Elephas maximus indicus: one gene and its partner. The protein of the gene in region 2 interacts with the protein of the main gene of each other region in a biochemical or structural test. Links are inferred from orthologs where the notes say so. Each region holds a gene or a part of one and is shown on either strand. Other genes may lie near its edges. The genes, in order: SKAP1 and FYB1.

Evidence for each region.
Region 1: the proteins of FYB1 (region 2) and SKAP1 form a complex in vitro, tested with the Homo sapiens proteins (2 studies listed by BioGRID and IntAct, with this or other methods). The link is inferred for Elephas maximus indicus from reciprocal best matches to the Homo sapiens genes FYB1 and SKAP1.

The regions. Positions count from the first base shown.
Region 1 is NC_064837.1:45,075,456-45,087,123, reverse strand, and holds the start of SKAP1 (src kinase-associated phosphoprotein 1), read right to left. Parts: upstream 6,176-11,668; 5' UTR 6,009-6,175; coding exon 5,960-6,008; intron 1-5,959. UniProt on the Homo sapiens protein: Positively regulates T-cell receptor signaling by enhancing the MAP kinase pathway. Required for optimal conjugation between T-cells and antigen-presenting cells by promoting the clustering of integrin ITGAL on the surface of T-cells.
Region 2 is NC_064820.1:45,057,516-45,069,007, forward strand, and holds the start of FYB1 (FYN-binding protein 1), read right to left. Parts: upstream 4,608-11,492; 5' UTR 4,579-4,607; coding exon 4,545-4,578; intron 3,545-4,544; exon of another isoform or gene 3,362-3,544; intron 2,851-3,361; coding exon 2,663-2,850; intron 1-2,662. UniProt on the Homo sapiens protein: Acts as an adapter protein of the FYN and LCP2 signaling cascades in T-cells. May play a role in linking T-cell signaling to remodeling of the actin cytoskeleton. Modulates the expression of IL2. Involved in platelet activation.

The DNA of each region.
Region 1 (11,668 bases), on a different chromosome or scaffold from region 2:
TGTATTATCAAAGTACCCTTCCTGAGAAATTCTCATCATTATATTCTACATGATCATTCCTTAGAATTTTATGAGCCATCCAATACAGTAGCCACTAGCCATATGTAGACATGAAGCAGCTAAAGTGTAGCTGGTACAGGAATCAATTTTTTTTATTTTATGTAATATAAACAGTCACATGTGGATACCCATTGCTGTTGAGTCAATTCCAACTCATAGTGACCCTATCGGACAGGGTAGAACTGCCTCACAGGGTTTCCAAGGAGCACCTGGTAGATTCGAACTGCCAACCTCTTGATTAGCAGCCATAGCTTTTAACCACTACGCCACCAGGATAGTGGCTATTATATTGGATACCACAATCTACATATCTAAAAGGTAAATCAAAATTTAAAAAGCTAGGAGACAAAAAGCAAGCAATGAACAAGTTAAACCGAAAAAATATAACTGTTTCTATGGTTAAAAATATCATGCAAATGTCAAAAAGCAATTCTTTAAATATAATAAAAATATTAGAAATTCTGTGTCTAACATATTACAATTTCACATTTTACATTGGAAGAAAGAGCCAAACAATATTGTTTCATTCTTAATGTCATTAATCAGAAGAACACGGGTCTTTTTTTTTTTTTAACTATAAGGGTAAAACTGAAGCCGCCACCAAGGTCTCCCCCAGTCTGCCGCAGTTCTCCTCCTCCCTTTCAGCTCGCCAAGCTGACTTTCTAACTGTGGTTTGATACCATCTCACTGTGGCCCTAACCGCGATTTGGATTTAGCACCAGAATTCCGCGCATGCAAGAACCAGGATCTTGGCACATGCGCAGGACCTAAGGAGCTGTAGCCCTGAACTTGACCCCAGACTTGAACATTGCCAGAGAAGAAGATATTTTCCAGCACACCAGGTGCCCAAGCCCATTTGAAAAGCGAGAGGTAACCTTTGCAAAATGACTCAGCACCTGGATCTCCAAATATGGGCATAGGAGGGATCAAGGTTTCAGATTTCAGGCGCCAATCTCTGTCCCCTGGGGACTCAAGGACTTAAAAGCTCCCAGATCCCTTGGGGCAGGAAGCCGTGCTCTTTCAGCTGCTAGGCCCCGTGTTGCTCCTTGTTTGCACAAACGATAAATATCCACTTTGTTTCCCTTGCAACTGGTGGTGTGGTGTCCGTCTTATTTCGATCACCTAATAGGACAGGACAAGAACCCGAGTTCGGTTACAAAACCACCAGCGGAATAAATACAGGATGTATAACTTCTAAATAATTTGAATAAAATAAAAATAATATAATGGTGTAAGAAAATGCTCAAGAGACAATAGCAAATGGAAAATAGTAAGTGGAAGAATCAGTATACAAAACTGTATACACAATGTGCCAACTTTCAAAGTATGAAATTATAATAAAAACTGAAAAAAATACTCGGAAAGTTAACAGTAGTTGACTATGTGATTGTCTATTATTGTGTTTTTTAATTTTCTTCAATGAACATTATTACTTTTATAATCAGAAAAAATTAACATAAAAATAGAAACAAAAGCATAATCATATTTCACCTTTCAGAACTAAATTGACTAGTAACCTCACCTATCTAGAAGATGCCTCACTATAAAAATTTAACCAAAATAGACCCTGAGCTGCCAAAATACACATCACAAAGTCCATGCGTAAGGGCTTGGGTACTTTGTCTATCAAGAGAGCCCCTCATACCTTCCTTTACACATATCTTAATTCCAACAAACTTGGTTATCTAGTGTTCCTGTAGTATTAGGGACACAGGCTCACTGACAACAGTGCAAACTGAGAGCCCTCGGCCTAACAGCAGGAAATATGACAAAAATAAAAAATAGACATAGACACTTCAAAAGCAATCCAGGGGTAATACGACAGAAACATCTCAGTATTATCTCTGTAAAGCACAGTAGCAGATATTCACTATAACAGCTCTGAATTAAAACATGTTCAAAGGAGGTCCATTTGAATACAGGCTGATGGGCTGAAGAAGTTAGGAAAGTTCCTAATGCCTTTTAGAGGAAAAAAATTTGATCACAAATGTATAAAATAAAGAGAGTGCTTAAGGAGAATATCCTCAGCTATCCAGAGCAACTCACTCTAGTGAGTTCCACATAGTTGAAGTTTTACTATATTGAAAGGACTCTACGGTCGGCTGAGACAACCAATACAAATCTGGAGAACGATCTGGAAGGAAATGATTAATGACTATTTCTTTCCAAGGAAGTTTAAATAGTAAGTAAACAGAGGCATATCTGAATCAGTGTTAACACAGCTACTGGGTTGTGGATATTTTTTGGCTTAAATCCATATTCTAAGCAGGATTTAGGTATCGTGCAGGTAGTTTGGACCTATCAGCTATCAGGGTAAAGTCAGCAGGCCCCACTTCATCATAATCAACAAACTGTGAACCAAAAAAAAAAAAAAATTATTCCACCTCCTTTGTACTTGCCTCTTTTGCTTCTGCCTTCAAAAAGGGGGCTAGAAAGACAAGGAAGAAACTGATTACGTTTATATCTGTGGAACAAAGATTATGCAAACTGCCAGCGCTCCGCGCTCCTGTTGTTTTTCAGTGTTATCACAAAACAAAACAAAAAGATAACTATTGCATCTGCAGCCCAATGATTTGACAACAGACCTGAATATTTCCTCCTCTTTCAATAAGGCAGAAGACGCCTTTCATTTTATTTATCTATAAGGTACTTATTTGCTGATATGGGACTAATTACTATTTCTGTGAGAGCCTGACAAAGTCTATCTGAGGAACCTGTTTCCTGAGTTACTCTAGAAGCCTCTCATTGCTTTGACATTTGCCAAAATTCCAAGGAACAATTTCTTTATTTTAATTCCCCACCCTCCATACTCCTAGGGCTAATAAGAGAAAAACATAATCACAACCATGGTTAGCAGCTCTTCAGCACCCTTGCCTCTCTGACCTTCTATTTGTCTTTCCTTCTTTTTCTTTTAAATAACCTTACAGGGTTTTTTTTTCCACGATTACAAAAGTAATGTATACTCACTGTCACAGTTCAAGCAACACAAAGATACATAAAATAAAAATTAATAATCTCCTCTTTAACACTTTCTCACTCCCCTCCCAAGGAAACCAATGTTAACAGCTTGGTGTATAATTTTCCTACTTCTTCCTCCACTTACACAAACATATATACTTGGTGATTTTTTGGTTTTGTTTGTTTTCAAACAAAAATAGGGTATTATATATACTAATATGCATCTTGCTTTTTTCAGTCTTAAAAACATGCCATGGACATTTTCGGAGTTCATATATACAGATGTATCATATCCTTTTTAATGGCTGCAAAGTATTCTGTAATATGGATGTCCCTTAATTCATTCAACTATCCCCTCATTCTTTCCCAACTCAAGGACATTTAAGATGGATCTTTGTGCACGTACCTTATGCACTTTAATTTCAGTGACATGGATTCCTAGAGATGGGGTTTCTCAAATTAAACATTTTCCAATGTTTAAAATTTTATCGCTACAAAAAATTAATTTTAAACCTTCAGAATTTCTGTTCCCTTCTTCACTATGCAAAAGTGTGGTATAAACCTTTCACAATGCTTTGCATATTTTATTTTTAAAAGCAGACATTATGTCAAAAAACACCCCTGTCATTTATGCCCATGTGGTTATAAATAAATAAATGCTTAAGTTATGGCTGTGATGGCCAGCATTAAATCACTGTGCAAAGGCTTATGCCCTGGTTTATGAAAGTAGTAATTCATCGTGGAAACTCCACCCCACGGCCACGTGGCAGCAGTAAAGCTGCTCTTACATCCTGTGACTCCCTTCCATTGTGTGACTGTAGAGAGATCGGGACCTACATATTTTCTAATTGTCAAGGGTTAACCTTAAATAGAAGGGGAGATGAGTAAACAGCAATAGATATAAATTGATGGCCATTTTGGGTTTCTAATATCCACAAATTATTTGTAACACAATGAGTAATTCTGCTGGTCTACACTAGAGACTGTTTTCCATACAAAATTAAACCTACAGCCAATAAGTTGGTATTACTAAATGAATCTTGAAAACCGTCTTCAAATATTTTCCAGAGGATCACTGGCTGGATCCTACTTTACATTTTTTTCCCTCTACCTGAGATTCAGACTCTAATTGCAAAGTTAAAAAAAAAAAAAAAAACCTTAAAGAAATACAATGCTCTTTAAAATTTAACCTCAGACTCCTCCTTGTATCCTAAAGACCTGAATACCAACAGAGATTGTTAAGACACAGCAAGTTTGATACAGAAGTATGTGACATGCAATTAATCTCCATTCATCGCCTGCTCTGCTTGTCAGCAAACAAAGGTTCTACTTTAGAAGGAGATCTGAAGACTTCAATTAAAAACAGTCAGCTAACAAGAATATAATCTAAGTTAAAGGAAGGTGGCAGGTGCAGAAATGAGTTGTTTACCAAAGTGTCAGTTTTGAACAATACAGGACTGCGTATCAAAAATGCTGAAGGAGTTTCACCGCAAGCTTCTGAAAATAAAAAGGAATTTTCTACCAAGGCTACACACAAAACTGAAGTATAGTTTAACAAGCTTGTAAGATAGGTTTCATCAAATGACAGACACCAAAAAAGGGATCACTTTATATCTTTAAATGCAAGAGCAGAATTAAACTTCTCGCCACAGTTTCTTCTACCCTGGAAACCAAAGACACTTACAGCCTCTTGTCACAAGCCTAGTATTGAACCAAGAGCCAACTCAACACTAGAGGAAAAGGCTGGATTGCTTCTTCTTAGAAACCCAGATAACTCTCTTTTACCTTGCAAATAGTTTTCTATTCCTAAACTTTAGCCTCACTCAGGTCATAATTAAAATGGATTCTGGAAACCTCACCTCAGAAGAAATATCTAGTTGACGGTTTTCACATAGACGAAATCCAGAGCGGAAACGGCGCTACAAGCAGAGACCAAAAGAACTTGCCAAATATTTGATTAGGAGGCATTTATATCAAAATAACAAAGTAATGGAGAGGTAAAACCAATTAAATTGAGAGAAACCGAAAAACTACTGCTTGCCAAGAGCATGACCTGCCCAAAGAAGGCCATCTGTTACGTATGTGCCAAAATGTCACTTAGATGCCAAAAAGCTTAATTCTAAGTGGTTTCCTCCTGAGACCCTATTTAACTGCAGACTCCAAATCTCTGTCTTTCCTAGAAGGTCAGCTACAGGAAAACAAGTAAAACTTCCTTTCACCAGGAAAAGTGTGACCTGAGCAGATGATACTGCCCATTAAGGAAAAGTCTCTTTAGAGCGTTAGAAGTACGTGTTGAGTGTTAGTATGGCCTCAACCTTCTAAAAAGACTGCTTAGACACTATAGTTTCAAAGTAAACATAGCACAATGGGACAACTCTAGCTAGACTTGGGTTCAGCATTGAGACCCCCTAGAAATCTGCAGGCTGATAAAGTGAGGCCTGGCGTTTCAGCACTGACAAAAAAACTAAGATGAACCACCAGGCCTCGACCAACAAAGGCTCACCCTGGGAGTCCTTCACAGAACCTCAGGGGCCTCTAAGCAGGAAGGTGAGGATCTTCTGTGAAAGGTGATGGAAGTGGGCAGGCGGGGGGTGGTGATGAAAAGGGAGAAAGCCTGCGGATGTAGGGCGTGGTCCTAAGGGGGAAATGACAGGTAAGGGGCCAACAACCTGGCCTGGAGGAGTTTAGAAGTTGGGGAGGTTATGTGTAGTAAAGACGCCTTGAGGAAAAAGAAAATGTGGAATTGGAGAGAGAGAAAGGGACCCTGAAGTGAGTGGATGAAAACCTAGTTTTGAAGATTCTAGAAGCCTTGAGTGAAGGAGCTAAAGAGAAAGCCTGGCCTTGGGAGCCCCTGGTGTCTCCTTTCCTCCCTTCAGCTCAGCACTTGAGGGACTTCCCGGGGGGTGGAGGGAGGGAGCTGGGGGCTGGGCCAGGGCGTTACCTTCCAGGAGCCAAAAGACCTCCTCAGGGAGAGTGACGGTGGCCTGCATTTGGCGGGGACGGTAGGAAGGCCGGCGTGTGAGACAGGACAGGGGCGTGAAGGCCTGTTCCAAAGACCGGCGGGCTGGAAGGTGAGGGGAGACCGCCGCGGAGGCACCTGTACCTCTGCCGTCGTCGCCCGCCGCAGCAGCCGGGCCGAGCCGCAGGGCGGGGCCGTGATCCCGGGGCGCGCTCAGGAAGTGGCGCGCGCGGCGGGCCGGGGGGCGCCCCCCGTGGAGCTCGCGGCCGGGGGCGCAGCCCGGAGGTGGGGGCGTGGCGTGCCCGCGCGGGGGGCGCGCGGCACCGTCACCGGGGCTCTGAGGTCCGCTGGTGGCGAGGATGGACGGGCGGGAGGGCCGCACCGTGGAGGCCGACAGGTTTCCCCACAGGCCGGTTGCCAAAACGAGGGACTTCACAAGACTCAAAGGAACCAAGTCTCTTTGAGACTTTCCGACCTAAGCACTGAACAGTTGGCCTAAAGGCTTGGACGCCACAGAGATGCCTGAAAGAGGGTGTGAACAGGCGGAACCCGAGAAAGAGGTTAGTCCAAGCCAAGAAGCGCCACTCAATTCCTGATCCCGTCCACACCGTCGTTGCTCAGAAAACTAAGGCAGAACGTTCTCTATCTCAGGTAAACCTGGATGTTTAAAGGGAATGATTTTAAGTCCCGGTAAATTATATGAAGCCACCAACATTTGGGAGAGTTGGAGCGGAAGCAGCAGCAATGGACTCAGGAAGACAAAGCGTCCCCCTCTAAGGTTGAAAGGATATGGAGAAAGGAAGGGGTATTGACTTAGTTATCTAGTGCTGCTGTAACAGAAATACCACAAGTGGATGGCTTTAACAAAGAGAAGTTTACTCTCTCAGAGCCCAGTAGGCTAGAAGTCTGAATTCAGGGCTCTGGCTCTAGGGAAAGGTTTTCTGTCTCTGTCAGCTGTGGAGGAAGGTCCTTGTGATACATCAGTCTTCCCTTGGTCTGGGAGCGTCTTAGCACAGGAACTTCAGGTCCAAAGGACAGGCTCTGCTCCCAGCACTGCTTTCTTGGTGGTATGAGGTCCCCATGTCTCTACTGGATAATCTCTTTTATATTGCAAAAGACATTGGCTTAAGACCCTATCTAGTCTTGTAGATCTCATCAATATAACTGACACTAATAATCCATCTTATTAACATCATATTGATAGGGTTTACAGCACATAGGAAAATCTCATCAAATGACAAAATGGACAATCAGACAATACTGAAAATCATGGCCTAACCAAGTTGACACATACTTTGGGGGGACACAATTCAATCCACAACAGGTATCTGGGTAGGGAAGCTGACAGAGAGGCGTACAGAGCCCTTTCCCTCTAAGAGCTGACAAACAGGAGAATGAACAGAGGCTAGGCCAAGATCATAGGGGAGAGTTTCTCTCCCCCTTACTCGAAGTACATAGGCATCAGTATCCTGGTTGTGATACCATGCTGTATTACAAGATGTTACCATTGGGGGGCTCTGGGTAAAGGGTGAACAGGATCTCTGTATTATTTCTTACAAATGCGTGTGAATCTACAGTTACCTCACAATAAAGAGTTTACTTTTAAAAAAACTACAGTAGGCCAAGTGCTGTGAGAAAGGTTTAAAATGCTGTGGGAGGGAGATGGGTATAAGAAAAGGAGGGAAGTGTCTGTGTGTTTAGTGGTGCATGTAGCATTTGAAATAGGCTCTGAAAAACACGCCAGACGTTGAAGGGTCAGAAGCGCTTTCCAAGTGGAAGGACCAGAATAAACAGATGGAAAAGCCCTCTACTACTTAAGGAACAACTACCAAAAACCCAATGCCGTGGAGTCGCTTACTAGTAGCCCTCTTTTACTGGATGGCGTAGGGATACTATGGTGTCAAAATAAATTGAATCTATTGTGAAAGGCCTTGAATGATTTTTAATTCAATCAAATGGGCATTGGGGAGCCATTGACAATTTTTGAGGTAGAAGGTGACCTAATCAGAGTTCTGTGGTAGCATATGACCTCACATATCTCACTTCACCTCTACCGTTTTCCTTCTTTGTAAGATGGAGTTTTCTATTCTCAGACTCAACCCACAGACTATGTGGGAAGGATTGGAAGTGGTAAGAGAGAGGACATCGGGAAGATGAGTGAAGTGGTTTTTACGGTGGCATCAGAGGGAAATAATGGTGAACTAAAGCAAGAAGGGGAAGAACCCTGGTGGTGCAGTGGTTAAGGTGTTCAGCTGCTTATTGAAAGCTTGGTGGTTTGAGCCCACCAGCCGCTCCATAGAAGAAAGCTTCCATAAAGATTACAGCCTTAGAAAACCTATGGAGCAGTTCTACTCTGTCCGATAGGGTCACGATGGTAATGTGTTCTTTTTAAAGCAGGGAGGTGGTGACAGAAACAGCCAGAAGAAACGGTGGTAGCAGTGCCTACTTTTCTGGCCTAGTTTCCCCTCTAGAGATACAGCCTCAAGGTTGGAGGCCTGATCCTTGAGGGGGTGCAGTGACTTTGAGCCATCTTTACACTTTCGCTTCCTGTGATTTGAAGAGGAATGGTGCCTTGGTTTCAGAGTCACATGACCCACCCACAACAAGTTGTCGGGTGGGGATAGAAGGCTGGCTGGAGTCTCTAGGGAATCTGGCTCCTGCTGGTCCTCCTTCGTGCCCTGGGAAGGTGTAGTAATGGGCAAGCTGCCCCCTCTAGGCCCCTGAGAAACTACCAGGTAGCCCCCAGGCAGTTTCGCCAACCTCATTGCCTATCCTTCTATAAAATTGTAGCTGTTCTTGAATCATTTTTTCGTACTTTTACCATGTGTTAAAAAGCAAAGGAGGATATATGGGATCTCTCTGTACTATCATCACAATTTTTTTGTAAATCTAAAACTGTGTTAAAAAATAATTTATTAAAAAAAAAAAAACAGCAAAAGAAACAAAAACCAAACCGACTGCTGTTGAGTCAATTCTGACTCATAGTGACCCTACACCAAAAAAAACCCGTTGCTGTCAAGTGAGTTCCTTTCATAACAGCCCTATATGGACCCTACAGGACAGAGTAGAACTAACTGCCCCATAGAGTTCCCAAGGAGCACCTGCTAGATTCAAACTGCCAACCTTTTTTTTTAGCAGCTGTAGCACTTAACCACTACGCCACCAGGGTTTCCAGTGACCCTGTAGGACAGAGTAAAACTGCTCCATAGTGTTTCCAAGGCTATAATCTTTACAGGGAAACCCTGGTAGCATAATGGTTAAGTGCTATGGCTGCTTACCAGAGAGGTCAGCAGTTCGAATCCACCCAGCGCTCCTTGGAAACTCTATGGGGCAGGTCTACTCTGTCCTGTAGGGTTGCCATGAGTCAGAGTTGACTTGATGGCAACGGGTTTGGCTTTTTTGGTTTTAATCTCTACAGAAGCACACTGCCACATCTTTCTCTCTCAGAGCAGCTGGTCGTTTCAAATCACTGGCCTTTCTGGTCAGCCACCAAGTGCTTTAACCACTGTGCCACCATGGTATGGTTCCTTTAAGGAAACAAAACCCCTCCTATATGGCACCTCAGCACTTTGCCTTGCCTCCCCTCTCAGGAGTGAAAGAAAAATTCAACAACCCCCCTTCTTCAAAGATATTGTGTCACCTGCTAATATAGGCTACAAGCTAATGAGTTTTTTGATAAGGAGCAATAAACCCAGGTAATTGCACATCCTCAAAGGCCTCACTGCCTGTCAGAGCTTACTTATACCAAGGGAAAGAGCAGAAACTCACTGCATAGGTATTCTACATCCATTCCTCCCCACAGGAATCTCTGGGTTTTAGAGAGGTAGGGGTAGAGAGAGGCACAGGGTTGGATAGCATGTGGTGGCTGACTGGCAGATTCCAGTACGGTATTGTCATGTTGCATCAAGGTTCCTCATTGCAGACAGAAACCTGCCTCCACACATGAGCACAGCCCCTTCTTAATCATCTGAGGACCCTAGTTCAGCAGTCAGCCTCACTCCTAATGACATTCTGTTAAATGGACAAATTCCTTTGAAACCTTGTCCTTCTTTGAAATCCAATTTCGAAGGAAGCCAAATCTGATTGGGGGTAGCCATGGAAACCACATCAAGGAGTCTTAGAGGAGGTGGAGAGAGGCAAGGCAAACCATCATAGTCAAGAGTCCTTTACTGCTCTGTCAGAAATATCAAAGGGATCCGAAGAGGTTGGCAGCAGATGAGTCCCTGCCCAGGTCCTGTTCTGTGTGGCTGGGTACCACGTGGCTGTCATGGAAGTAAGCAGCCAGCTGTCTCTGCACACAGGCGGGGGGAATGGAGCAGAATACACAAATCCCAGGTCTGTCTCCTCCCTCTTTCTCCCCTCCCCCCCAACCCCAATTCCAGCAAGATCTTAGGTGCCCCCCCCTTAAAGGCAAACAACAAAAGAATGACAAGGTTAAAGTGCAAGGCCCTCACTGATAAGAGGTCCTTTGGAGCAGAGGCTAAGAAATTAATCTGAAATTCCTTGTAATTAGATAAGATAAGGGTATCTAAAGAGATGCAGAGCAGCCAAGAATGGAGTCCAGCAGCACAACATGCAGAAAATATACCCTCTTGTCACTGGAGCCCCTCACACACTGTCAGCAGACAGAAAATAGGGCCCCTGCTGGCCTCTGGGCTGCTGGGGGAGGCTGTCTATATGTCCTCATGCCAGGTGGAAATTCACTAAATATGCATCCATGGGGTGTCCAGAGGGCTCAATCAGGAAGAAACAAAAGCATCTGGCACCCAGAATGGCATGGAGTGGGAACAAATGCAAGCAAAGCAGGTGCCGGCTGGCACTGTTCCACCCTGGGTAGAATGGGTCTGGAGAGGAGACTTCAGAGGGCAGGCTCTTGGGCTTTGTTCCGAGTTGGTTATTGCTCCCGGGACACCGGGTCATGACACGCGGCGGAGCTGATGTCTGCCCTGTGGATGTGTGGCCGCTGCATCTCAGCCTCTCGGTCCCAACCCCATCAGCCGGGTTTATTGACTCTTTTATTGACAATGCTGGGGCCTAATGAGGATAAGAGCTGCACACTTCATTAAGGGCTGTGGAAGAAGAGATGATTCGTCCTGTCGATGCCAAGAGCCAGGCTCACTGTGTGCTTTGCAGGGCCCCAGAAACCAAACCCCATGCCACCACTAAGGCATGAAATGCTAACTTGGGCCCATCACTTTGGTGGTTTTAAAATGCAGGGTTTTCACAGCTTGCCAGAGCCTCCTCTTACTAATTAGCTAATCTTTCAACTTAGGAGAGTTAGCTAATTAACACAACACACACACACAAATGCACTTCTGATGGTGTCCGCTTCTAGCTCACACTCCTAGATTCTCTGCACTAATACGTACAACAAAATAAGCAGGTTCTTTTTTTTTTCCTATCATATCAGGGACCTTTCCCATAAACAGGTTCTCAATGACACAGAGCCTTGGAACAGAACAAGGAATGATTAAAACTCAAAAAAATCTTCCAGGTGATCAAATTCAAGATAACAAACAGACCTACCCAGCACTCTGCCCAGGGCCTCCCAGCTCACCAGGGAACTGTGCCGGCATTGGAATCCAGGTCTCCAGTGCTGGCCCAAAGCTCCTGTAGAACTCAGTAGCTGAGATGGATAATGACAGCCTAGGGATCCTGAGTGGATCTGTGAAGGAATCATTGTTAGTCCTC
Region 2 (11,492 bases):
CTTTGGACATGTTGCCAGGAGGGATCAGTCCCTGGAGAAGGACATCATGTTTGGCAAAATACAGGGTCAGCGGAAAAGAGGAAGACCCTCAATGAGGTGGATTGACACAGTGGCTGCAACAATGAGCTCAAGCATAACAGCAATTGCAAAGATGGCTCAGGACTGGGCAGTGTTTTGTTGTGTTGTGCATGGGGTTGCTGTGAGTTGGAACTGACTCGACGTCACCTAATAACAACAATGAGATAATGCGTGTCTACTTAAGATTTTGGTTTTTCGTAAACCAACAGCATAGTCAATCTGTATGCTGAGGAAATAATCCAAGGAGCTGGACTAAATGAAGAAAAATACAGGAAGATCGGAGGAAGACTCATTAACAGCCTATGTTGTACAAAGGGCACAACCTTGCTTGCTCAAAGCGAAAAGGACTTGAAGCATTACTGATGAAGATCAAAGACTACAGCATTCAGTATAGATTACACTTCAACATAAAGAAAAATCTTCACAACTGGACCAAAAAGCAACATCATGATAAACAAACTTTGAAGTTGTCAAGGATTTAATTTTATTTGGATCCACAATCGATGCCCATGGAAGAAGGAGACAAGAAATCAAATGACGCATTGCAGTGGGCAAATCTGTTGCAAAAGACCTCTTTCAACTGTTAAAAAGCAAAGATGTCATTTTGAGGATCCTGATGTGCCTGACCCAAGCAATGGTATTTTAAATCACCTCATCTGCATGCAAAAGCTGGACTATGGATAAGGAAGACCAAAGAAGAATTGATGAATTTGAATTACAGTGTTGGTGAAGAATATTGAATATACTGCGGACTGCCAGAAGAATGAACAAATCTGCCTTGGAAGGAAATACAGCCAGAATTCTCCTTAGAAGTAGGTATGGTGAGACTTTGTCTCAAGTGCTTTGGACATGCTATCAGGACGGTGGTGCCAGTCCCTGGAAAAGGACATTATATTCGGTAGAAAGTCATTCAAAAAGAGGAAGACCCTCAATAAGATGTTTTGACACAGTGGCTCCAACAGTGGTCTCAAACAGTAACGATTGGGAGGATGGTGCATGACCCGGCAGTGTTTCACTCTGTTGCATAGGGTCGTTATGAGTTGGAATTGACTCAACAGCACCTAACAACAGAATAAACGTGTATGTCAGGGTTCACAAATATTAACTGCAATTATCATTCTCCTCCTGTGTTCACTGGGAGCTTCTATGCCTCCGTAGGAAATTATATATTTAGGGTAAAAAACCCAAAACCAAACCCGTTGCTGCTGAGTTGATTTCAACTCATAGTGACAATATAAGACAGAGTAGAACTGCCCCATAGGGTTTCCAAGGACCGGCTAGTGGATTCAAACTGCTGACCTCTTGGTTAGTGACTGAACTCTTAACCACTGAGATGCCGTATTTAGGGTGGGAAGGTAGAAAATCAACATTCATCCAGTATCTGCCAAGTGCCTGCCGTATAACAGGTGTTCTATGGATGCAATCTTGTTTATTCTCCACAACAACACTGTGTGAAAGTTATGATCATCATTCCAGTCATCCTCCCCCAACTCCACGTCATCATTACCATTATGTTTGGACGAGGGAATAAACTCAGAGTTTATGTGACTTGTGAAAAAAACGCACGGCTAGTAAACAAAGCTAGTACGTAAGAAGCCCGAATACGACCTTTGGACTGTGCCGTAATGTCTTTCGAAGAGAAAAAGTAGAAAGTTTTTTTTCTTAATACATTATGTGCCTTTCACAACCTGTCATAGAATGTCAGGGATGATGTTGGGGAAAAAGAAATTAAGGGGAAAATCCTTCCTTTGTGTCACCTTGACAGGCTACAAAGAGAGGCATGTGCGTATCTCAATTGCAAATGAGAAACTCATGTACTATGCCACTATCCAGTAAGCAAACTTAAAATGTTTAACCAGAGCATAAAAAAAAAAAAAAAAAAACCAGAGCATAACTTGTGTTAGAGTCTTAATATATGTATTTTTTCACCTAACTATTCTCTCGGCCATTCTATCAATGGAAAATCAGACAATGTATATAAAAGGATACTTATGACAATCTAAATGTCCAACTATATGGAACTGATTAAATAAATTATGGAATACTATGTAGTCATTAAAAATGATTATATATGTATACATATATTTATGCTATAACTCAGAAATTACTCAAGATATGTTAATTTAAAAAGCAGTTCATAAAATGTATATTAGCAGCTACAGAAAATTGCATTTATAAAATATGTTTTTAAAATGATGAAATTCAGCTTAGCAGTGATCATCCCTTAGGTGATAGGGCTATAGAAAATACATATTATTTCATTTTTACCTATCTATATGAAAAAAAAAGTTTTATATGTTTAAGGAATGAAAAATAATAGGCGTTACTCATAAGAAAACACTAATCTTTTAAGAAACCATTGCCTATGTATTACATAAAATATGCACTATCCAGTTAAGCTTTCTTTTTTTTCTGTGTTATTATCATTGTGTTTCCCTTAAGAAAATCCAAACAGCTCTCTGTAAACCACAGTGCCCTCATTTGTTTTTGAAGAGGATATTAGCAATTAAGGTCAAAGTGTTTTCTGAGAATCCTGGACCTAAAGTCTAGTTTGGAAACACCAGAGGGGATTTATAAGTCTTACCTCAACCTGTGACTTCCGTCCTCTGCCGGCAGGGCAGCAGATAGTATCAGGTCTACCATTTCCTCCACCACCAGGCATTTCTCTCCCTGGGGCTTCAGCAGAGGCAGTGGCGATTTGGTGGTAGAACTCTTGCCTCCCGCCAGGGTTTGATTCCTGGACAATGCACCTCATGCTGAGCCCCCACTCACCTGTTGGTGGAGGTTTACATGTTGCTATGGTGCTGAAGGAGCCCTGGTGGTGCAGTGGTTAAAGCTCTCCACCACTAACTGGAAAGTCAAAGATTCGAAACCACCCGGGGGGCTCCAGGAGAAAAAGATGTGGCAGCCCGCTTTCCTAAAGATTTACAACATTGAAAACCCTATGGGGGCAGTTCTACTCTGTCCTATACGGTCACTACGAGTTGGAATCTACTTGATGGTAGTGGGGTTTTTTTTGGCTTTACAATGCTGAAAGGTTCAGTGGAGCTTCTGCACTAAGACAAACTAAGAAGGCCTGGTGATCTACTAATGAAAACCCTATGGATCCCAGCTGTCCAATCCAAAACTAGGACGGGCAGCATTTTGTTCAGGTGTGCATGGGGTTGCAATTAGCTGGGGCAACTCCATGGCGGCCAAAAACAACACAACTTCAGCATCTCTGATTCCATCCGTCTTTTTTCCTCCCCCCTCCCTCTCTCATGGCAGAGTTACACCGTCTCACCTCTTCCACTTTCTCCAGCCTGGTTCAGAGAGCTTCCAGACTACAAACACATCCCGTGAACGCTTCGTCCTCCCTATTCAAATATCTGCAACACTTCCCACTCCCAAAGTGGCGTGCTTGTAGGAGTCATTGTCTCAGTCCCTGTCTGCTGACTTGTGGATACTGAAAGGAAGTAATCCTCTGTGTGACAGGAGACCGACCCATTGCCGTAGAGTCGGTTCAGACTCTAGACCTTATAGGACAGAGTAGAACTGCCTCATAGGGTTTCCAAGGAGCAGCTGGTAGATTCAAATGCTGATCATTTTGGTTAGCAGCCGAGCTCTTAACCACTGCTCCACCAGGGCTCTGTAACAAGAGAAGGGATAACAAATCTCCACTCTTCTACGGGCTGGAGCATTGAAAGAGAGTGTGGGACATAGAATTGGCTCCCTTCTCCACCCTGGGAGCAGAATCAACACCATACATATAAATACAAGTATAGCTATAAATATAATTTTAGGAGCCAATTTTCCCAGAGAAATAATCAGGAACTGTGTAGAAGAATATTAATGCTATAGTTCAGCTATAATACTTTGTTTTCATGATACAGCCGGGAACTCAGTCAGTATTTTAAGTATGCTCCAAACTATGACTTTCAATTAACTTTGGGAACACAGCCTGTCCCTAAGGTTTGGACTGTTTGGGCTTTGTTTCCCTTCTTTTAATTAAAGCTATAACATACATTAAAAAAAAAAAAAAAGCAAAAGAACTCCTCTAATATTCACTGTTACCAAAATGGTGCTCATCATCAGCAATATTGCCCAGCATATACCACTGAGGTCGTCTTCTGGAATCCAAAGTGCTCATAATACCAAACTTGACTGTATTGTTGGTTTTGGCACCCAGCTAACTTAAGAGGCAGAGACAAAGAATGCAACTTTTCTTTCTGTAAGGCATAGCTCTCTTCCTTTCTTTTGCAGGCTAGAATTAGAAAAAGGAACTCCTGAAGCCACAGTCTCTTGTCTTTCAACTCGTGTAATAAAGACTCAGCAGCTTTGTTAGTACACGGAAAAGCAAAGACGCAAGAATCCTAAAAGCTTGGAGCAACTGGCCTTAAAGCACCCTTAACCCTCTCTGCTTTAGTTACAGAATATTAGTTAAGTTTGTCAGGAGACCAGGAAGAGTCATAAAATCTATTACTTACCATTTCTCTTGGGAAGAGTTGATGTGCCTGGCATACAGTGGCCCAGAAGATGCTGTAACTTGGACAATGAATGTGCAAGTTAGTCCCGCAGAGTGTACTTCCTTTTTTGAACTGTGTGGTCTGTCCAGCTTCCACACACTGATATGTAAGGCTGTATTTGCATGCTATCCCTGATCTTAGAGAATTTGTATAACTGGCCAGGTCTGTCTAGTTATTATACTTCAATATATGAGAGCAGGTATAGGTAAAGCTTTGAAGTCCGAAAGATTGACATAGAATTTTTTAAGAAGTGCCCACATATTAAATTATTAAATTCTGTGCACATTGTTAGTCTGTTTTATATAAAATCTGTATTTGTGTATGTGTATATATATATATATTTATTTATTTTTATTTGTTTAAAGACCCACACCCAAATGCTAACAGTGGTTGACTTGGATGAAGGTATTGTTACATGTTTATTTTTGTTTTATACTTTGCCCAGTTTTTTTAGTTTTCTATTCAAAATATGTAATGCATGTTTCTAAACATAGTTATAATCTCAAAAAGAACAAAAGCAACATGATAATTTTAGTCAGTGACAATTCCAAATGTATTTAAACCCATCTTGCCAATATTTAAATGGTCAAAATATTCATAAGCTTATCATAGGATGCCATTCCCTTCATTAAAAAATGTCAGTCCAGCTTCATGTGCTAACTTTTTTAGCATCAGATGCTTCAGTCTCTCACCATATTGAACTAGATATGCTTGAGTGAAAGGCATATTTCATCCTAAATATTCCTACACCACATTACCCCTTCGAACACATTTTGGTACATGAATTTATCTCCTGTATTTTGAACTTATAGCCTGATAATAAAGCAGTTTCAAGAGCAGAAGATCATCTTTATTTCTCATTTCAAAGGAAAGACAACTGTTGACTTAATTTTGGGCTGCAACTTTCTAGATCTTGTTTTAAGTACTATAGGGTCTATGCTTGATGCTGTGCTAATTCTAATTACTACCATGACCATACAAAATCCCTTCTTAAAAAAGAGGTTGCATACTATTTATTCCTTAAAATTAAATTTTTTTTCAAAATCAAGATGTGATTAGAAATACGGATAGCATCATCGCTTCAACAAGGCAGAAAGCCAGGACAGGGGCCAAGCGCCAGAGATAGGAAAGTCCCTGGAATTGTCCACAAACCTTCAGATTATAAGAGAGGTGGGTCTTAGGGGTGCTAACAGAAGCTAGGTGGGTACTCAGGAATCTGAAATTGCACAATTCTGGCACATAATAAACGTCCCATATAAACCCATTGCTGTTGAGTCGATTCCAACTCATGGCAACCTTATAGGACAGAATAGAACTGCTCCACTGAGTTTTCAAGAAGCAGCTAGTGGATTTGAACTGCCGACCTATTGGTTAGCAGCTGAGCTCTTAACCACTGCACCACCAGCCTTGTTGAATCAGTGGGAGGAAACATGAAGGCGAGACCGAGGTATGAGAACTAGGCATGCTTTTAGATACAACACATTTGCCAGAAGAAGACCTTAGAAGGCCTTGAAATGGAAGCATTCCTCATCTTAAATGGAAAGTTTCTTATTCTGTTGGAACGAAGATTATCACAGTGCAGGTACAGTGTGAGGTCTAAGTCAGTGGTTCTCAACTTTGGCTGTAAATTAAAATCATCCCAGAAAAAAGCTTTAAAAAATCTAAATTCCTATGCTTCACCTGTCTTAGTCATCTAACCCAGTGCCATCGAGGTGATTACGACTCATAGCGACCCTAGCGCTGCTAAAACAGACATACCACAAGTGGATGGAGTCAACAAACAGAAGTTTATTCTCTCACAGTGTAGGAGGCTAAGAGTTCAAATTCAGGGCACCAATACCAGGGGAAGCCTTTTTATCTCTGTTGGCTCTGGAGGAAGGTCCTTGTTATCAATCTTCCCCTGGACTAGGAGCTTCTCTGAACAGGAACCCCTGGTCCAAAGGACGAACTTTGCTCCTGGCACTGCTTTCTTGGTGGTATGAGGTCCCCCATTCTCTGCTCACTTCTCTTTCCTTTTATCTCTTGTAAGATAAAAGGTGATACAGGCCACACCCCAGGGAAACTCCCTTTACATTGACTCAGGGCTGTGACCTGAGTAAAGGTGTTACATTCCACCTTAATTGTCTTTAACATAACCCAATCTTGCCTCATTAGCCATAGGCAGAGATTAGGGTTTACAACACATAGGAAAATTACATCAATCACAAAATGGAGGACAGCCACACAATACTGGGAATCATGGCTTAACCAAGTTGACACGTAGTTTTGGGGAGCACAATTTAATCCATAACAACCCCTGACCATTAAATCAGAATCTCTGGGTTTGAGACCCAGACATTTGAAAGCTCACCAGTTGATTCCAAAGTACAGGAAAGAGGCAAGTGGTGAACAGAGCACCAGGCAAGCTTTGCAGGTAGAAGCAGGTCCTGACACTCTGCCACTGACTAGTGCTAAGTTTATCAGCGTAGTTTCATCATGCACCACATAACAATTGCTTATGCTGAATCATTCTGTGGTTTTCTCTCTCCGCCAGTAAGTTAGGCAAAAAATTACACTACAAAGAGAAATCTAGCAATTTTTTGCTAAACAACTGGAAACGTTTCTGGGTAAGACATGTTTAAATTTCAATTTGAATTCCATTTAATTTGTGATTATTTCTAAATGAAGGTTAAGATAATTTTTAGTTGTTATTGAAATAAATTCAGCAGTTTTTCAAAAACATCTATTTAAGAATTTTGACTAAGAAAAAGCAGGTAAGGGTTGAAGCTCATTTACCCCGAACCAACTAATAATCTAACAGTAAATTTTTAGTTTTAGTTTTTGGAGCATAATGACTTTCCTCTTGAGTATATCTTTCACGTATCACACACGTGAGTGTATTTCCTGTGAAGTCAGTTAAGTACATAAGCTCCTGAGCAAGAAGATAAAACAGGAAATACAGCAAAGGTGACAGTCAATATCTAAAAAAGAGATAAAGTTATATCTTCCCAACCAGGGCACTGCAATTATTCCCGCAAGTGGAAGGGAGAAGTAGCTCAGAGAATATAAAAGTGCTTATGCTTCTCTAAATAGCATATTTAGGCATACATTCTCTTGACACAGATTACATCCTAGAAAGCTGTTTTTGTCTGGGCAAGATTAAAACGAGTCTTTCTGTGTAGGAGGAGCCCTGGTGGTGCAGTGGTTAAGAGCTCTGACTGCTAACCAAAGTGTTGGCAGTTCAAATCCACCAGGCCTCCTTGGAAATCCTACGGGGCAGTTCTACTCTGTCCTGTAGGGTCTCTATGAGTAGGAATCGACTCGCCGGCAGCGGGTTTGGTTTTTGATGTTGGTCCCTGTATACTCACTGAAGGTGAAACAGCTAGGTGGAGGCTGTGAGGCCTATTGGCACTGCATGGCTAATTTCATTTTTCTGAGCCAATTTACAAATAGAGAGAGAGCAGTGATAAAAATTAAAGAAACGCTACTTAGCATGACCCAAAAACATTGGCAGTATTCCATCTCTCAGGACTTTAACAGGTAGTGTGGTTAAAATTAACATAAATAGAACAAAAACTAGTTGCCATCGAGTGTATTCTGACTCATGGTGACTCCATGTGTGACAGAGTAGAGGTGTATTCTATAGGGTTTTCAATGGCTAATTTTTCAGAAGTAGATCTCCTGGGCTTTCTTCTGAGGTATCTATGGGTGCAGTGGCGTCACTCAGGTTGGTGTCACCCCCTGATGGACCTGTCCTGCACCAGATGATATGGAATCCTTAGCAATGTTTATTATCAGTTTTAACCATAGAATAATATGTGATAAAGTTGTAAATAGCATAAATGTAATATTTCTTAGATTATGTGAATACTAACGAGAGAATTGTTTTATAAAATCTTTCTACGTTGAAATACATTATTTACAACATTGTTAATGACACCAGAAGCCCTTTTTTGACTTTTCACCTTTTTTCTTTTAATACGGCTTCATTCTCAAAAAAAGTTATCGATACAGTTTCACAAACAATATATACCTCAATATTGTAGCTAAAACACCAGAAAATTTGAGGAAATCAGAAACTATAAAAACACCTGCAGCAACGAAAACAACAGCGTGTGCTTATACTGTGTAATCTGAGGAAACCACGTGATTTGAAGTTTCCTTGTAATTGAGTAATAACGACAGCTCTGACCAGAGTACATTGAAAGTTTCAAAAAGTACATTAGCCTAGAGTTTTAGCCTTGTAGGTATATTGATACATATAAGCTGAGCTTATGAAAAATGTTTTTAGTTTTGTAACTTACTACAGGGATATTTTTATAAAAAATGTTAAATTTCTTCTAAAACACTGCACAAAAATTTTATAGACAGTACTTTTGGTGTCACCCCTCTGACAGTGTCACCTGGTGTGGTCCATACTCCCTACACCCCCTGCACCCCCTGGTGATGTCACTGTCTGGATGGACTTGAACCTCCAAACTTCCAGTTGGCAGCCAAGCGTATTAACTGTTTCCACTATCCAGGGGCTCTAAAATTAATATTGTTGTTGTTGTGTGCTGAAGGGTTGACTTCAACTCACAGTGGCCCTATAGGACACAGCAGAACTGTCCTGTAGGGTTTCCTAGGCTGTAAACTCTACAGGAGTAGATTGCCAGGTCTTTTCTCCTGCAGAGCCAATAGTGGGTTTGAACTGCAGACCTTTCAGTTAGCAGCCTAGCACTTACCCATTCGGCCACTAGGGCTCCTTAACATTAACCAGGGTGTCCAAACTGTTCTTTCCAGTTTGAGTCTATGCTGAGAATTTGCATTTCCACCCTAGATATCCTGAATCAGAATCTACATTTTAACAAGGTTCCCAGGTGACTCTCATCATTTCAACACACTCCCCAGGTCATATGTACATAAGAATCACCTGGGAATTGTGTTAAAATGTAGATTCTGATTCAGTACATCGGGAGCAGAAACAAATTTTCAGCAGGGGTTGAATGAGACTGAACTCTTTGGAGGCCCTGAAATTAACATACTCACTGCCATCGATGGTTAGATGGTTAGAAATAGTTACAAAATCTTTTTTTTTTTTTAATTTTTATTGTGCTTTAAGTGAAAGTTTACAAATCAAGTCAGCCTCTCACACAAAAAATTATATACGCCTTACTACATACTCCCAATTGTTCTCCCCCTGAGACAACCCGCTCCCTCCCTCTACTCTCTCTATTTTCGTGTCCATTTTGCCAGCTTCTAATCCCCTCTGCCCTCTCATCTCCCCTGCAAACAGGTAGTCTCAAGTGTCCACCTGATCCAAGAAGCTCACTTCTCACCAGCAGTCCTCTCCAACCAATTGTCCAGTTCAATCCCTATCTGAAGAGTTGGCTTTGGGATGGTTTCTGTCCTGGGCCAACAGAAGGTTTGGGGGCCATGACCACCAGGGTCCTTCTAGCCTCAGTGAGACCATTAAGTCTGGGCTTTTTACAAGAATTTGGGGTCTGCATTCCACTGCTCTCCTGCTCACTCAGGGGTTCTCTGTTGTGTTCCCTGTCAGGGTAGTCATCAGTTGTAGCCAGGCACCTTCTAGTTCTTCTGGTCTCAGGCTGATGTAGTCTCTGGCTCATGTGGCCCTTTCTGTCTCTTGGGCTCGTAATTACCTTGTGTCCTCGTTGTTCTTCATTCTTCTTTGATCCAGGTGGGTTGAGACCAATTGATGCATCTTAGATGGCTGCTTGCTAGCATTTAAGACCCCAGATGCCACTCTTCAAAGAGGGACGGAGAATGTTTTCTTAATAGATTTTATTATGCCAATTGACTTAGATGTCCCCTGAAACCATGGTCCCCAAACCCCCGCCCCTGCTACACTGGTCTTCGAAGCATTCAGTTTAATCGGGAAACTTCTTTGCTTCTGGTTTAGTCCAGTTGTGCTGACCTCGCCTGTATTGTGTATTGTCTTTCCCTTCACCTAAAATAGTTCTTATCTACTATCTAATTAGTGAAAATCCGTCTCCTACCCTCCCTCCCTGCCTCCTTTCATAACCATCAAAGAATATTTTCTTCTCTGTTTAAACTATTCCTTGAGTTGTTATAATAATAGTGGTCTTATACAATATTTGTCCTTTTGCAACTGACTAATTTCACTCAGCATAATGCCTTCCAGGTTCTTCCACGTTATGAAATGTTTCACAGACTCGTCATTGTTCTTTATCGATGCATAGTATTCCATGGTGTGAATATACCATAATTTATTTATCCATTCATCCATTGATGGACACCTTGGTTGCTTCCATCTTTTTGCTATTATAAACAGTGCTGCGATGAACATGGGTGTGCATATATCTGTTCTTGTAAAGGCTCTTATTTCTCTAGGATGTATTCCAAGGAGTGGGAATCCTGGATCGTATGGTAGTTCTATTTCTAGATTTTTAAGGAAGCGCCAAATCGATTTCCAAAGTGGTTGTATCGTTCGACATTCCCACCTGCAGTGTATAAGTGTTCCAATCTCTCTGCAGCCTCTCCAACACTTATTATTTTGTGTTTTTTGGATTCATGCCAGCTTTGTTGAAGTGAGATGGAAGTTCATCGTAGTTTTGATTTGCATTTCTCTAATGGCTAATGATCATGAGCATTTCCTCAGGTATCTATTGGCTTCCAGAATGTCATCTTTAGTGAAGTGTCTGTTCATATGTTTTGCCCATTTTTAAATTGGGTTATTTGTCATTTTGTAGTTGAGTTTTTGCGGTATCATGTAGATTTTAGAGATCAGGCACTGATCAGAAATGTCATAGCTAAAAACTTTTTCCCAGTCTGTAGGTAATCTTTTTACTCTTTTGGTGAAGTGTTTGGATGAGCATAGGTGTTTGATTTTTAGGAGCTCCCAGTTATCTAGTTTTTCTTCTGCATTGTTAGTAATGTTTTGTGTACTGTTTATGCCATGTATTAGGG